Linked DNA regions of Arabidopsis thaliana. The protein of the gene in region 1 interacts with the protein of each later gene in a biochemical or structural test. Each region holds a gene or a part of one and is shown on either strand. Other genes may lie near its edges.

Region 1 (7,167 bases):
ATTATTTCCCTAGTTTTTTTTTTAACTATAGCCATATTTTTTTCTGTTTCGTCTTTTTGTATTTATTACTTGGAAATGGTATGTAACGTTTACTTAGGTGGAATGCTACCTGAGATGTTCTGTTTCACAATTCAAGATCCATAATAAAAGAAACCGAGCCATTTTTGTACTCCATAATATATTTGCATGCTTGTATTTTTTTCTTATACTGTTTTGTTTTCTTATACAGCTTATCGGAAATATTGCTGAGAGATTTCATGCTTTATGTTTGAAAGACAGTGGTGTCTTATACGAGGATCCTCATATCCAGGTTTGTTTTTTTCTAGTTTCTGCTTTTATTTATTCAAGTATGCAGCAGACAAGCCTCCGAGCTTTCTTATGTTCCCATTTTGTTGATTGTTTGTATTCCTCAGATTGGCATCAAAGCTGAATGGAGAGGACACCATGGGAGACTTGTTCTCTTCATGGGAAACAAGAATACTTCTCCACTTACATCAGTTCAAGCTCTGATACTACCCCCTGCCCACTTAAGACTGGATCTGTCTCCAGTACCTGATACAATTCCTCCTCGAGCACAGGTACTTTTGTTTGTTGATTTATTTAAGTTTGACTACTCAATCCGTCATTTTCTACTCATTTATGCATAATGTACTAAGTGTTGCAATTTTTTTCATGGTTATAGGTACAATCTCCGCTTGAAGTGATGAACATCCGCCCTAGTAGGGATGTTGCAGTTTTGGATTTCTCCTACAAGTTTGGTACAAACGTGGTACGTACTGCAACAGTACTTAGCTTGTTTTGGTGAATGGTATATTTAGTATCTGTGACTCTACCTGATATGCTGGATCTTTTATAGGTCAGTGCCAAATTACGCATCCCGGCAACCTTGAATAAGTTTCTTCAACCTCTACAATTGACATCTGAAGAGTTCTTCCCTCAATGGAGAGCAATCTCAGGGCCACCCTTGAAACTTCAGGAAGTGGTATGTATCTCCACAGCTTCTCTGATCAAATATCAAACTAAAAGTATTTGAGTAGCGCAGGATAGTAGTCAAAGGCTTCTAAGAATTTTCTTTTCAATGAAATTAGTGAATTAGCTTTCGCTACAACACTTATAGAGAACTTCCAACACTTCTACACATGCTCGTTAATGCAGCATTACTTTTATGCGTTATATAATCTGATACTGCAATCTCTTTCAGGTAAGAGGTGTAAGACCTCTAGCTCTTCCGGAAATGGCAAATCTGTTCAACAGTTTTCATGTGACGATATGCCCTGGGCTTGTAAGTAGTTGTTTACGATCTCAAACCTTCATTCCTCATGCACACATGTATACTTCAAACTTAACTTGTATTGTTTTTTGTCGTAGGATCCAAACCCTAATAATCTAGTGGCAAGCACAACCTTCTACTCTGAAACTACAGGAGCCATGCTCTGTTTGGTGAGATTTCACCAAGTTTCACTTCCTGGTTTTGGCACTTGCCACTCCAATTTCTAAAATTTCTTAAGACTTATAGTAATGACGTGTGACATTTTCCTTGGTTTGCGATTTTCAGGCAAGAATTGAAACAGACCCAGCGGACAGAACCCAACTACGATTGACAGTAGGCTCGGGAGATCCTACCCTTACATTTGAGTATGATATATCTGCCTCTTAATCACAAACCCAACCTCGATCACAGATTTTCTTCATTTGCAATTGTTGACCCCTTTTATCTACAGGTTAAAAGAATTCATCAAGGAACAATTAATTACTATTCCAATGGGATCTCGAGCTCTAGTTCCAGCAGCAGGTCCAGCACCATCACCAGCAGTTCAACCGCCTAGCCCAGCGGCTTTAGCTGATGATCCAGGAGCTATGCTTGCTGGCTTACTTTAAATTCATTGGGATAAAAGATTACTTGCACATGTCGAAAAGTTTGTTTTCTGTTATTGTAGAATGTAATGGCGAAAATATGGAATGATGGGAGAGTAAATGTAGAGCCAAGGGAGAGAAAAAAGCTAGTTTTGATTATATTTGTGCCGTTTATCCAAAGCGGGCGGGTTGCGTTAGGTAAGAAATTTTGCATTCATTCTGAACATTTGTATTGTGAGGTCAGTGGTTGTATCAGCTTGTTCTTGTGCCTATATATTTTCAATCTGTTTCTCCATGAGTTTTCTGATGGGAGGTCTGTTTTTTCGCACCAGCCTTCACATTGAGAGATTTTAATGTTGTCATAAAGGGGGGAAATTGCAAAAACACATCCAACGCATAGCATTTCACCTGTAAAAACCTGATCTAATTTGAGGTGTGAATAGAGTGGGGACTTGGCCTTGGTGGGACATTCAACCGACATATATACAACCAGATTTTTACTATTACTTTGAAGAATATAATTGAAAGAAAATTTTTTTTTTACTATTTTTAATTTTCTTACAAACTGCTTATGGATTTAAAAGCTGTTTTATCAATTTTTGCATGATTTTTTTTTGTTTTTACTACATAATTTGTAATTGACAAAAGTATGATTTTTTTATATTACTATATCATTTGTAATTTTGCAAATAAAAAAAAATATAAGAACCCTAGATCCGGGGCTTGTGAAACAAGAGTGATTAAGCAAAATTTGAGTAAGTCTGACTTTTGCAAGTTTGCTTCACCAACATCAATGTCGCTCAAGTTGAAGAAGCAACTTCTCTTAAAGTATCGAATACCCTAAAATTTGTCATGCCTTGAAGAAAAACTCAACCGAGATATTGGAGCTGTTCGAAATACCTAAGAAATCAGCCGATGTTGCTAACGCAAAGGGACAATATCTTCCATAAAACTAAAAATGTTCAATAAGCAGGGCCGACCCAAATCTAAAGCCCAGCAAGCTGATGCTTTATCATCACAATCATATAAAAGCCTTGTAGTTTAATGGTTGGTGCTTCCATTAGTTATATAAGTTTACGAGTTCGATACTCAAACTGCCAAACAACAACATCCTAGGAGCATACGCTATCGCCGTCACTGCTTTTCTAGCTCAACAATTCGTCCTATTCATCGTCTTGTAGATTATGATCTTGTTATGAGACACATTTAGTATTTCAAAAACGAGAGTAGTGACAATACTTTCCTATTCACCAGAGTAATTTGGTTGCAATGATTCTAGCAAAATTGTTATCTGAAATATAGAGTATCTAAAATCTTTATTCAAAAGATTTCATAATACATTGAGTAAAATTATAAAATGCTCATAACAAAAAATAATCAAATCAGCACTGCGTATAAACCATTTGTTTCGTTCCCACTAATACCAACAAATACCATGTCTGACGAAAAAAAAAAAAAAAAAGTTGGGACCAGCTAAACCATTGCATGACCTGACCTGACCCGAATTCATAACCGGATTTTCTCATGGTACATTTTTTTTGTTAAGGATTTTCTCATGGTACATTGAATTACAACTGAATGCATTGACCGCGACAGAAAACAGTCATTTTAAAAATAAATGAAAAAGTGAAACCAGAAACAGCAGTAAATAAATATTACCCAAAAAGGCAGAAGGATACACTTTTTAACAAAATATTACGCAAACTTATAAATCCTCAAATTTAGTCCAAATGTCTAGACGCGTTAATTCTGTTTTTCGACGGGTCAATTTCGGATTCCAATTTCAAAACAGACAAAAACTGAATTACACAAAATTGAATAGTCAAAGTTGTAAATAAAGAAAAATAAAAGTCGTCTCTCGTCTCTCTCCCGCAGGCGTGTCTCTCTTCTCCAAAGATCAGTCTCTCCTTTTGAATTTCTTCGATTGAAGGTGCCATTTTCCGTTTCTAGATTGGGATTTCGATCTCACCTCTCTCGAATTGCTTATGCTTCAGCTTTAGTCTGTGGTTTATCTCGTAGTTAGATCCGGTGCCGCGAGTTTGGATCTGCGCCGTGTGAGGCGGCGGAGCACGGTGGATTTGAGGATTTGGTTCAACCATGACCGGAATGAGAGGTCTCTCCGTATTTATCAGCGACGTTCGTAATTGCCAGAACAAGGAAGCGGAGAGACTACGAGTTGATAAGGAGCTCGGAAACATTCGTACATGCTTCAAGAATGAGAAGGTTACTCTCAATTCTCTCCATTCTATTTTCTATGTTTTGATTCTCATTAGAGAGGTAATTCAGTGTCGAGTATCCGCTGAGGTTTTGGTTTATTAGAGATATTGGAGATTTATCCTTCGCAGTTGCAATGCCAATGCAATCGAATGTTAGAGCTATTAGGTTGATTAGGGAGTTAGATAAGAATGTAGATGAAACAAAGATACAGTCACTGGTCACATGCCGAGTGGATAGTTTTGGAGCTTGTAGTTTCTTACTTTATCGGATTGAGGCAATAAATTTTGATTTAACACCAATTGTGAAAATAGATAGGCAGTATAATGTTGCCGTTGTATAGCTAGCTCAAATCCTTGTAGATTAGCAATTATTCTACCTTTTGAAACATCACTACTATTGCTTTCAACTTGGAATTTCATTACTGAATATATGATGACATTTAGGAACTAGAAGAAAAGAATGGTCTGGCAGTAAATTCGGTTATGTAGTGATGGTCTAAGAAATTAAATCATGGTCACGGAAAATTTTGAATAGCTCATTACGAAGTAGATTAAGCTTTGTTGCTGTAAGAACTTCTGGAGTGAAATTCTTGTTCCATCTTACACGTAGCAGAGCTGTAGCAGGCCTGTAGTGGATCCATGTGTTTCCAGTTGGACCAACATTAAACTTATTCTTTTTCGGGGTTCATGTTAGAAATGAATTAATCAAGAACTCTTTGATTACTTGACATTCTGTTTTATTTTTGCAGGTTTTGACACCATATAAAAAGAAGAAATATGTCTGGAAAATGCTTTATATACATATGCTAGGCTACGATGTGGATTTTGGCCATATGGAGGCGGTTTCTCTTATATCTGCGCCAAAGTATCCAGAAAAGCAGGTAAACCAACGTTTTGTTTGCTCAAACAAAGAAATTTTTCTTTGTAAGGCTAGGAGAAGATAATAGATGGAGGTGTTTGCTGAAATATATTCTATTGATCAAGCTGAAACAAAGAAAGTTTCATTGAAGATCACACAGTTAGATCTAGATACCATTTCATGCGTTTGCAACTTGACTTGACCTGGGAAAGTATTGCAGACAATTACTTATAAGCACGAGTTACTTAGTAACATCTTAGAAACTCTTAACCAGAACCATGCATTGTATCTCAAGGGTTTGTATTTCCAATTTATATTGTTTCATGCTCCTTAACTAATTTGCAGGTATTGAACTTTTCATCCATGATTACAGGTTGGCTACATTGTTACATCTTGCTTGCTCAATGAGAACCATGACTTTTTGAAGTTGGCAATAAATACAGTGCGGAACGATATTATTGGTCGGAATGAGACTTTCCAGTGCCTAGCACTGACCTTGGTATGTGGTCTTTTGTCCACCCTGTATTGAGATTTTAGAGCATAGTTAGGTTCTTCTGATTATAAGATGTTGTTAAATGACTGTTTTAATGGAAGTCTTTGGTACATTATGTCTTTTGTGCTCTATCATTTCACGATTCAGAGCCACTTACTTCATGAAACTGGTCCTTTCTTTCTAGCTTTCTTACCTTGCCATGCTTACGTTCTCCTGTAGGTTGGAAATATCGGTGGAAGGGATTTTGCTGAATCATTGGCACCTGATGTTCAAAAGCTACTTGTAAGTGACTCCTAAAGATGAGAGGTTATATTTTTTTCCAATATTACTAAACATATTATGTTATGGGGTCTCTTTGCTGCAGATTTCTAGTAGTTGCAGACCTCTTGTAAGGAAAAAAGCAGCACTGTGCCTACTGCGCTTATTCCGAAAAAATCCTGATGCTGTCAACGTGGATGGCTGGTGTGTATAACACTGTGGGGTTACTGGTTCTTTGATTTTACTAGTGCATCTTTCATATTCTCTTTGTCGTATACTTCCAGGGCGGATCGTATGGCACAACTTTTGGATGAACGAGATCTTGGTGTCTTGACGTCTTCTACGAGTCTTCTTGTAGCTCTGGTATCTAATAATCATGAGGCGTACTCAAGTTGTCTACCTAAATGTGTCAAAATATTAGAACGCCTTGCTAGGAACCAAGATGTTCCTCAGGAGTACACATACTATGGCATCCCATCTCCTTGGCTCCAGGTTTGACTTAACTCGGCTTATTCACTCTTGTTTAATAGCTTAAATATTCTTTAATCGCATCCTTTTCACAAATCCTGTGCATTTTAAACATTTTATGTGAAATTAGCTTATGAAAATAGAGGCTTGGCCCAGCTTTGGTGTATTTTTGTTACTCAGTTAAAGATATCGTGGATACTTATATATCTTTGGTTAGTACAGGTTAAGGCAATGAGGGCTCTTCAATATTTCCCGACCATTGAAGATCCCAGTACCAGAAAAGCTCTGTTTGAGGTTCAATATTTTCATGTGTAAATCTGTAATATATGTCTTTGAATTTCCTCTCATGGCATGGCATTTCATGGAAATTTCAGGTCCTTCAGCGAATATTGATGGGGACAGATGTTGTGAAAAATGTGAATAAAAACAATGCGTCTCATGCTGTGCTGTTTGAAGCTCTATCCCTGGTAAGTTCGTCGGATAGCTGGGGAAATGTTGATACCATGAATTTTACTAGTGGGCACCTATTTTTCTCTCTCTTCCCCTTCACCCCTGCTCAACGTCCTGTAAAGACGCATTTACTCAAAGCAGACTACTGATGTGTGCATGGACGTTTAAAATATATTTTTTGGCTTTGCTAGAGAAACTTCAAGTGTTTGAATTGCTTGCAGCTAATTGTACGATATTCTTTGTCTGTTGTTTTTCTTGTGTGAAAGTAAAATAAATTTAGATGCTCTGCTTGAAGGTTTCGCCACTATTTCTAAGAGGTTTATCATGGATAGTTGACTTAATTGTTCCTAACAGTTCTCTGGCTTAGTGTGCAACCTCCTAACTTTTTAATGTGTTTTGATATAGGTCATGCATCTTGATGCTGAGAAGGAAATGATGTCACAGTGTGTTGCTCTTCTTGGCAAGTTTATTTCTGTCCGTGAGCCCAACATCAGATATCTAGGCTTGGTGAGATCTTGCATACCACTTCCTGCATCTAAGCCTAGCTGGAGTAGTTTGTGAAGTGGTTG
Region 2 (7,167 bases), on another chromosome or scaffold:
TATATGACCTCTTTTCTTGTTTTAAAAATTCCAGCATGTATATGATTTTTGTAAGGAGAAGTATATGATTATTGATGGGCACTCAAAATCTGAGGAAGTTTGAGATACACAAGTGGTGGGAGCGAAAATAAACTGAAGTACAATTTTTCTGCACCTTCTTTGGGAAACATAGATAATTATACTTGTTTTTTATTTTGAAATAGTTATACTTTTTGACGACATAAATTATTCTTTGCATGATTTAAAATTTCAACCTACATTTATGCTTGCAATTTCGTAATTACTTCCGCCTTTATTGCTCATCTTTAATTCTGCCTTTTCTTGTCCTTATAGACATAAACATTTGTGTGTTTGTGTGTGACAGCAGTATTTCCCTATCTGAAAAACAAGAATATTTTGATTTATTAGTAGTTTGAATTATGAATTGCAATTAAGTTATGATTAGGTAGTGATAATTATTTCTCATGGGGTAGTCCTTTTCTTCAAATCTCTTGTGGCGATGGTTCGTGTATTAAATCGTCATGTGCCATAATACCATTAACCTAGCTGTAATAATTTAATGTACCGTTAAAAAGGTTACAGTTGCTCTGTCTATATGTTATTACTCTTAGCCCCGTATTAGCTCTCAAAGCGTACGACCACGCAAAAGCCTGCAATGCCACTAATTAAGTTTCATTCCACATGCCATATATCTTCTTTTGTCACGATTATATTTCCCATAATTGAGATTTCACATGCACTCTATAGTTTTATGTCGTCATGATATACATACATTGGGAAATTATACGACCAATACGAGTAAACGAAATAAAAAATGAATGGTCAATTATATGACACAATTCAAATTCTAAACGGAACTAAATTTTAGCCTCTATGGTTATGTATACTATTATTACAGTCGATAAGTGTGAAGCGAGTCGACGCGGTATATCATACACCGATCGAGCCACAACACGCGACCTCTCATTATATTAAAATCACATTTTTATGCCACAAATCAAAGTCGTTGTTGTTAATTTGGTTTAATTGAACTTTGTATTATAACTCGGTTTAGTCTTCAAATACAGCTGTCTTCCTATTGATCGCTTTGTTATCTTATGTCAGCCATTTTAAGACATTTGACTTTACTCTCATAATCATCCTTTTCTGTACATTTATTTGATTCTTACGGTTCTAATTACCTTTCTATATATATGATATGTTTTTGTCAAAAGCATCAAGTGTTTTTGTAGTTTATATTTGTAGTTTCTAAGTTTATGACTTTGGAAAAATTAGGAACGTTCTGGCACCACATTGTAATATGCATGATCGGAAATTTTGTGGTCCTCTTGCCATAATTTTCGCGCACCAACAAGTGTTTTTATAGATTTCGTGTAATCGTTTATTTTTGAAATATTTTATAGCTTTCTGTTGACTGTATATTTGTGATTTATACGCAATTCTTTAACATATACAGAAACAGAATGTCGGTAAATAAAAAAGAAATTATATAATCGAAAATGATTGTGGTAGATGTCATCGTGATTAACATAGCTTAACTAGCATCGAATAGCAGCATGTAATTTAAAAATGTTTCATTGAAATATATGTGTGATTTTCAATCAGAATTAGTTTGGCTTTATTTCAATCTGGTGGTTGGAGATTAGTTTTCTCACACAGTGGAAATTTCCTGATCTATTATCTTGTTTATTATAAAACTAAGAAAACCAATAATTGCCAGCTAATAGCAAAATTAAAAAAAAACTATAGGAAAAAAATAACGAAGATATAGAATTAGTCCCTAAAGAACAAAGCCCACCTCCAACGACTACTTTTTTCACTATAAAAACAACTCTTTTCCATGCAGAAACACAATCAATCACTTCTTCTTCATCTTTCCTCAAAAATAAAAACATTTTCTCCAATTTGTTCTTCTTTAATAATTTGGAGAAAAAAAGTCTTAGCTAAGACTGAACATTATCCGGTGAAGAATGGCGACTCCGGCATGGAGTCATGCCAAGGCTCAATGGGTAGTCGCCATGTTGGCGTTACTCGTTGGCTCGGCTATGGCTACCGAACCTTATTACTATAGCTCTCCTCCACCACCGTATGAGTATAAATCTCCACCTCCTCCGGTTAAATCTCCTCCACCGCCTTATGAATATAAATCACCACCACCTCCGGTTAAGTCTCCTCCACCACCGTATTACTATCATTCACCGCCGCCGCCAGTGAAATCCCCTCCCCCTCCTTATGTTTACAGCTCTCCTCCTCCTCCGGTGAAGTCCCCTCCTCCCCCATACTACTACCATTCACCGCCTCCTCCGGTGAAGTCTCCTCCTCCTCCATACTACTACCATTCACCACCTCCTCCGGTGAAATCCCCACCACCACCATATTACTACCATTCACCACCTCCTCCGGTGAAATCCCCACCACCACCATACTACTACCATTCACCTCCTCCTCCTGTGAAATCTCCTCCTCCTCCATATTATTACCACTCCCCACCTCCTCCGGTGAAATCCCCACCACCACCATACCTTTACAGCTCTCCACCACCACCGGTAAAATCTCCCCCACCTCCTGTCTACATCTACGCTTCTCCCCCACCTCCCACACATTACTAGGCTCATCAAATTCAACAAAATTTCCCCATTATTCAAGTAAGTCCTATACTTATACCTTTACCTCATAATCCGTTTTAATAATTGTGCCCTAAATAAAATCGGAATTTCTTCTTTCACAGGTTTTCTTTTAAAAAATGAAATAAAGGAAGGGTCAAAGTCAAAGAGAAGAAGAAGTGAACCAAATAAGGATCGTGGCGTGGAAATCAGAAACAAAACATCTCTAACAACGATCCACATCACTTCCTCTTCTTCAATGTCGCTCATCTTCCACTTGTGCATCATTATCTTTGCGTCTTCGTCAAGTCAAATTGTTTCCAAGACCCTTTTAGATCGTATCATACTCCTCTTTGTTCCCTTTTGTTGTTAAGTGAAAAAATGGGTTTTGGTAATTTAATTGTTGTGCATACATTTTCTATTTTGTTATTCTTCCGTTAATGTAATGAAAGAGTTGTTAGCATATAAAACAAAGTTCAGTTTCTTCTTTCTTTGGATTATGCGATATACAGTCATAACATTTTCTATCTTAAAACATAGTTCCAACGACAAAAGTAGTTCCAATGACAAAGTTAAAAGACATATTCTTTTAGGTTGGGCACGACATTGTTTCGATCTGTTCGTCCAGAGAAAGTTATCATTGCTTCAAAAGGTGGGAAAGTGGAAGTAACACATCACTTTGATCTCATTGGATCATTAATAATTGTGTTTATGTAATACGTCAGAGACTCACTTTCATTCAACTAATTTCCACCTACTCTTTTTGTTTCAACCTTAAAAAAAAAAAATATTGAGCAATACTATATGCTTAATACAAAACCATTGACTAAAATTAAAGAATGTTGAAATGAATTAATATCAAAGTTATAGTTTATATTCTTCTATTTAATCGAAACATGGAACCAAACAAAAGCAAATGAAAAGCAGCAAGTGCTGAAGAATTGGTTCGAAATAAGTGGAGTGGTTGTACTTTGGGCTTTGGGATAGCATTAGCTGATTTTGAGGCCCATTGGCTAAACGTATTTGGTAATTTGCCTCCAATTTTTTTGTCACCGTCATTTTGTTTGTTGTTTGGCAACGACACCTTCCAAACTTTATCGTTATGCTTAAGTTGATTTTGATAAATTAATTTGATAATGATGAAGTGAAATTCAATGAAGCTAATAAACACAATTTTGATAAATTAATTTGATTTCAACAGTACTGAAATATATAGTATTAGGTCTAGTAGCTTCCAACTCCACTAGACATAAAGCAATTTTGTCCCAACAAAAGTTTTGGAATAAAGCATATTGTATCTTCTCATTTCCAAACTGTATATGAGAATAGAAACTTTATAAAACTGGTTAGACCAAAGTAATAATTATGTTGTTCTCAATTAAACAGCTGTGATTTTTCAAATCCAAACATTATATTGATTTGGAGCGCCTTAATAATATTCTCCGTGTTTAGTTGCGCTGTCTTATTTGTATTATTCTTTTTTTTTTTCACTATTTCATTTTTATTTATTTATTTTATCTGTTGAATTTTCTCTTCTGGCTGCTGTTTTCCTCTCTCTCTCTCTCTAAACTCGAGAATTTTTGTAGAGAGAGGAGGCAAAGTGCGAAAGCTAAACGCAGATCCACGATCAATCTCCTCCACCTTCAAAAGCCTTCAAAAGTGTTTCTTCTTCGTCTTCTTCCTTTTATTATCTGTGCCTTGACAGATCCACGATCCGATTCTGGTCAAATTTTACATTTCTGCAGGTACGATCTTAGCTCTTTTTGTTCTTTCATGTTCATTATTCTTTTTCTGGATCTATTGTTTCCATTTTTAAATTTCCGGTTGATTTTTTTATCTTGTTCGATGTGATTCTATTTTGTGGAGGGATGTTATTAGCTTTAAGATCTGTGTGAGCTGCGTTTTTGAATGTGAATCTTCCTTTTTATTCGATTTTGATTGTTACCGTTTGAATTTTTAGTCTGCTTAGGAGTCGGATTTTGTTGATTTTGACTTCTTCTTTATATCCTTTAATTGTTGCAAAATTCGGAAATTTTGTTACGAGCTGGGGATTTTTTCCACTTCCTTGAGATTGTTTTAGGGTGAATCTGAACAAAGACAAATTCGATCATTGCTGATTGCTTTGTTGCCGTTCCTCAATTCCATGTATCTGGCTCTTACGATTGTGTAATTGAAATGAGATTATGATGAAGAATGATTCGTTTGTTTCTTTTTGTTCTATCTATACATTTGTGGTGATATATATATATATCTTTGTTTGAAACGTTAATAGATAAGCTGCTCATACTAGTTATACAACAGACTCCATAGAAGGTGACATTTGTTTAAGATACTCTTGTTCCTGGAACACATACGAAGATGAAGAAAGTCTTCGGACAAACTGTTAGAGACCTGTAAGTATTTTCGTACCCGAAATTTAATGATATTCTCAATCTGTGTGTGGTTTATTTCTTTTTTCATTGACGGGATGCTTCATTTTATGTTCCATTTATTCAGTAAGAGAGAGGTCAACAAGAAAGTGCTCAAAGTTCCTGGAGTAGAACAGAAGGTAATGGATGCTCTTAGCTTCTTCTCTCTTTTTCTTCTTATCAGAAATTCTTCCGCAGCAGAGATTTAGATACTGTTTTCCATTTTTATGCTTGAGTTTATCAATTTCTTTATTTGTTTCTAAAAGGCTTTTATAAATAGAGAGCTTATCTTGGTTGCATTCATCGTCTTGCTAAACAATGTAAAGCGAGATATCCAACTTTCTCTTATCTTGTTTTGTCTGTGCTTTCTCTTATTCAGGTTCTAGATGCTACTAGTAATGAGCCATGGGGTCCACATGGATCACTTCTTGCTGATCTTGCGCAAGCTTCCAGAAATTAGTAACTACGACCACCTTCCAACTTGCTATATTTTGCTGCGATTTTGGACATTGCACAGGAATTATAAAAACATGTTACTTCTATTTCAGTCATGAATATCAGCTGATCATGGTGGTCATATGGAAACGCCTTAGCGACACCGGAAAAAACTGGCGGCATGTCTATAAGGTAAACAATATTATTGTCTTGCTGGCTTAATTTGTGTTGAATTTCTGTAGCAGTGACTAAAGTATTTCATGCTGTTTACCTCTTCTCTCTCCCCTTCAGGCTTTGACAGTTTTGGAGTACATGGTAGGCCATGGATCAGAACGTGTTATAGACGAGATTAGAGAACGTGCATATCAAATTTCGGTAATGACTACCTTGAGTACATTATTTTGGAAGTATTCAACATCAAGAGAATCCTTTAGTGCTATATCTCAGTAGTTGACTATCTTACTTGTATATATGTCTATTTTCCTTGTGGCAGACATTGTCCGATTTTCAGTATATTGATTCCGGTGGTAGAGATCAAGGAAGCAATGTTAGGAAGAAATCACAGAGCCTGGTGGCTTTGGTGAATGACAAGGAAAGAATAGCTGAAGTCAGACAGAAGGCTGCTGCTAATAGAGATAAGTAAGTTTGCTTGTCATTGTATCTTTCTGGAACTGGTGGATAGTTTTCTCTCTGTGTGAGTCTCGGTGGACACTCGTTTGATTTCTTGTTGCTAGTGGCTTACAATTGTTATTATGCTTCTCGGTAGTCTATTAATTGGTAGTACTGGCACTTTAACTGTATTAGCTTCTGAATTTTGAAAGTTTTTATCTCGAGAAAAAAAAATGACATGTCTTTTGGTTCATTCAAAATATGCTGAACATATCAACCTACATTATTTTACAACAGGTATCGCAGCTCAGCACCAGGTGGGATGTATAAGCCTTCAGGCGGATATGGGGATAAATATGATTACGGAAGCCGGGATGAAGAGCGAAGTAGTTATGGAAGAGAAAGAGAATATGGTTACAGAGATGATGATAGAAATAGTCGTGATGGAGATCGTCATTCCAGGGACTCTGAAGACCGGTATGGGAGAGATGGTAATAGGGATGATGATTACAGGGGAAGGAGCAGAAGTGTTGATAACTATGGGTCACGAGGTAGGAGTTCGGAAAGAGAGCGGGAGGATGATGGCCATTCTTCATCACGGTATGTTAAATTTCAAGTCGCCTAAATCCTGAAATAAAAAAGGAAGGGGAAAATTTTGAAGATTATCAACTCCATTTGGATAGAATATTTTTATTTTGAATACTAGCGTAGATGTCCTTGATTTTAAAAATCATTTCGAACCGCAATCTTCTTAGTCTAGTTCCATTTTCAAATTTTAAATGGATACACTCCTTTTTGTCCTGTAGGGGCAGTGGTGCTCGAGCTGATGATAATTCTCAGGATGGGAGGTAATTTCTGATAAATTTCTACTGAAGTTTAGGCATTCTTTTATTGTATGACAACTCATCTCACCTTCTTTCGGGATTATAATGGTAGAGGGGGGCTCCAGAGGAAGTTTTCTGAACAAAATATTGGCGCTCCACCCAGTTATGAAGAAGCTGTCAGTGATTCACGCAGCCCTGTATATAGTGAAAGGTGATCATTTTCTGCTTTGAAAATTGAAAGCTACCTTGGTTTTTATTGGTGCTGATGAATCTTTCTATGCCAGGGAT

Evidence for each region.
Region 2: the proteins of alpha-ADR (region 1) and AT2G43160 form a complex in vitro, tested with the Arabidopsis thaliana proteins (one study listed by BioGRID).

Annotation. Positions count from the first base shown.
Region 1 is NC_003076.8:7,584,811-7,591,977, reverse strand, and holds the start of alpha-ADR (alpha-adaptin), read left to right. Parts: upstream 1-3,655; 5' UTR 3,656-3,951; coding exon 3,952-4,077; intron 4,078-4,819; coding exon 4,820-4,951; intron 4,952-5,302; coding exon 5,303-5,428; intron 5,429-5,641; coding exon 5,642-5,704; intron 5,705-5,786; coding exon 5,787-5,884; intron 5,885-5,964; coding exon 5,965-6,172; intron 6,173-6,370; coding exon 6,371-6,442; intron 6,443-6,522; coding exon 6,523-6,615; intron 6,616-7,003; coding exon 7,004-7,105; intron 7,106-7,167. Other genes in the region: AT5G22780 (Adaptor protein complex AP-2, alpha subunit), read left to right, coding at 230-310, 414-578, 683-769, 857-982, 1,202-1,282, 1,369-1,440, 1,556-1,635, 1,722-1,878; AT5G22785 (uncharacterized protein), read right to left, coding at 2,134-2,262, 2,273-2,335. UniProt on the Arabidopsis thaliana protein: Subunit of the adaptor protein complex 2 (AP-2). Adaptor protein complexes function in protein transport via transport vesicles in different membrane traffic pathways.
Region 2 is NC_003071.7:17,943,923-17,951,089, forward strand, and holds the start of AT2G43160 (ENTH/VHS family protein), read left to right. Parts: upstream 1-3,877; 5' UTR 3,878-4,348; intron 4,349-4,430; exon of another isoform or gene 4,431-4,748; intron 4,749-4,875; exon of another isoform or gene 4,876-4,904; 5' UTR 4,905-4,961; coding exon 4,962-4,996; intron 4,997-5,099; coding exon 5,100-5,151; intron 5,152-5,390; coding exon 5,391-5,470; intron 5,471-5,559; coding exon 5,560-5,638; intron 5,639-5,737; coding exon 5,738-5,821; intron 5,822-5,939; coding exon 5,940-6,085; intron 6,086-6,352; coding exon 6,353-6,655; intron 6,656-6,861; coding exon 6,862-6,903; intron 6,904-6,991; coding exon 6,992-7,090; intron 7,091-7,163; coding exon 7,164-7,167. Other genes in the region: AT2G43150 (Proline-rich extensin-like family protein), read left to right, coding at 1,971-2,609. UniProt on the Arabidopsis thaliana protein: May have a role in transport via clathrin-coated vesicles from the trans-Golgi network to endosomes. Stimulates clathrin assembly. Binds to membranes enriched in phosphatidylinositol 3-phosphate (PtdIns(3)P). Plays an important role in protein trafficking.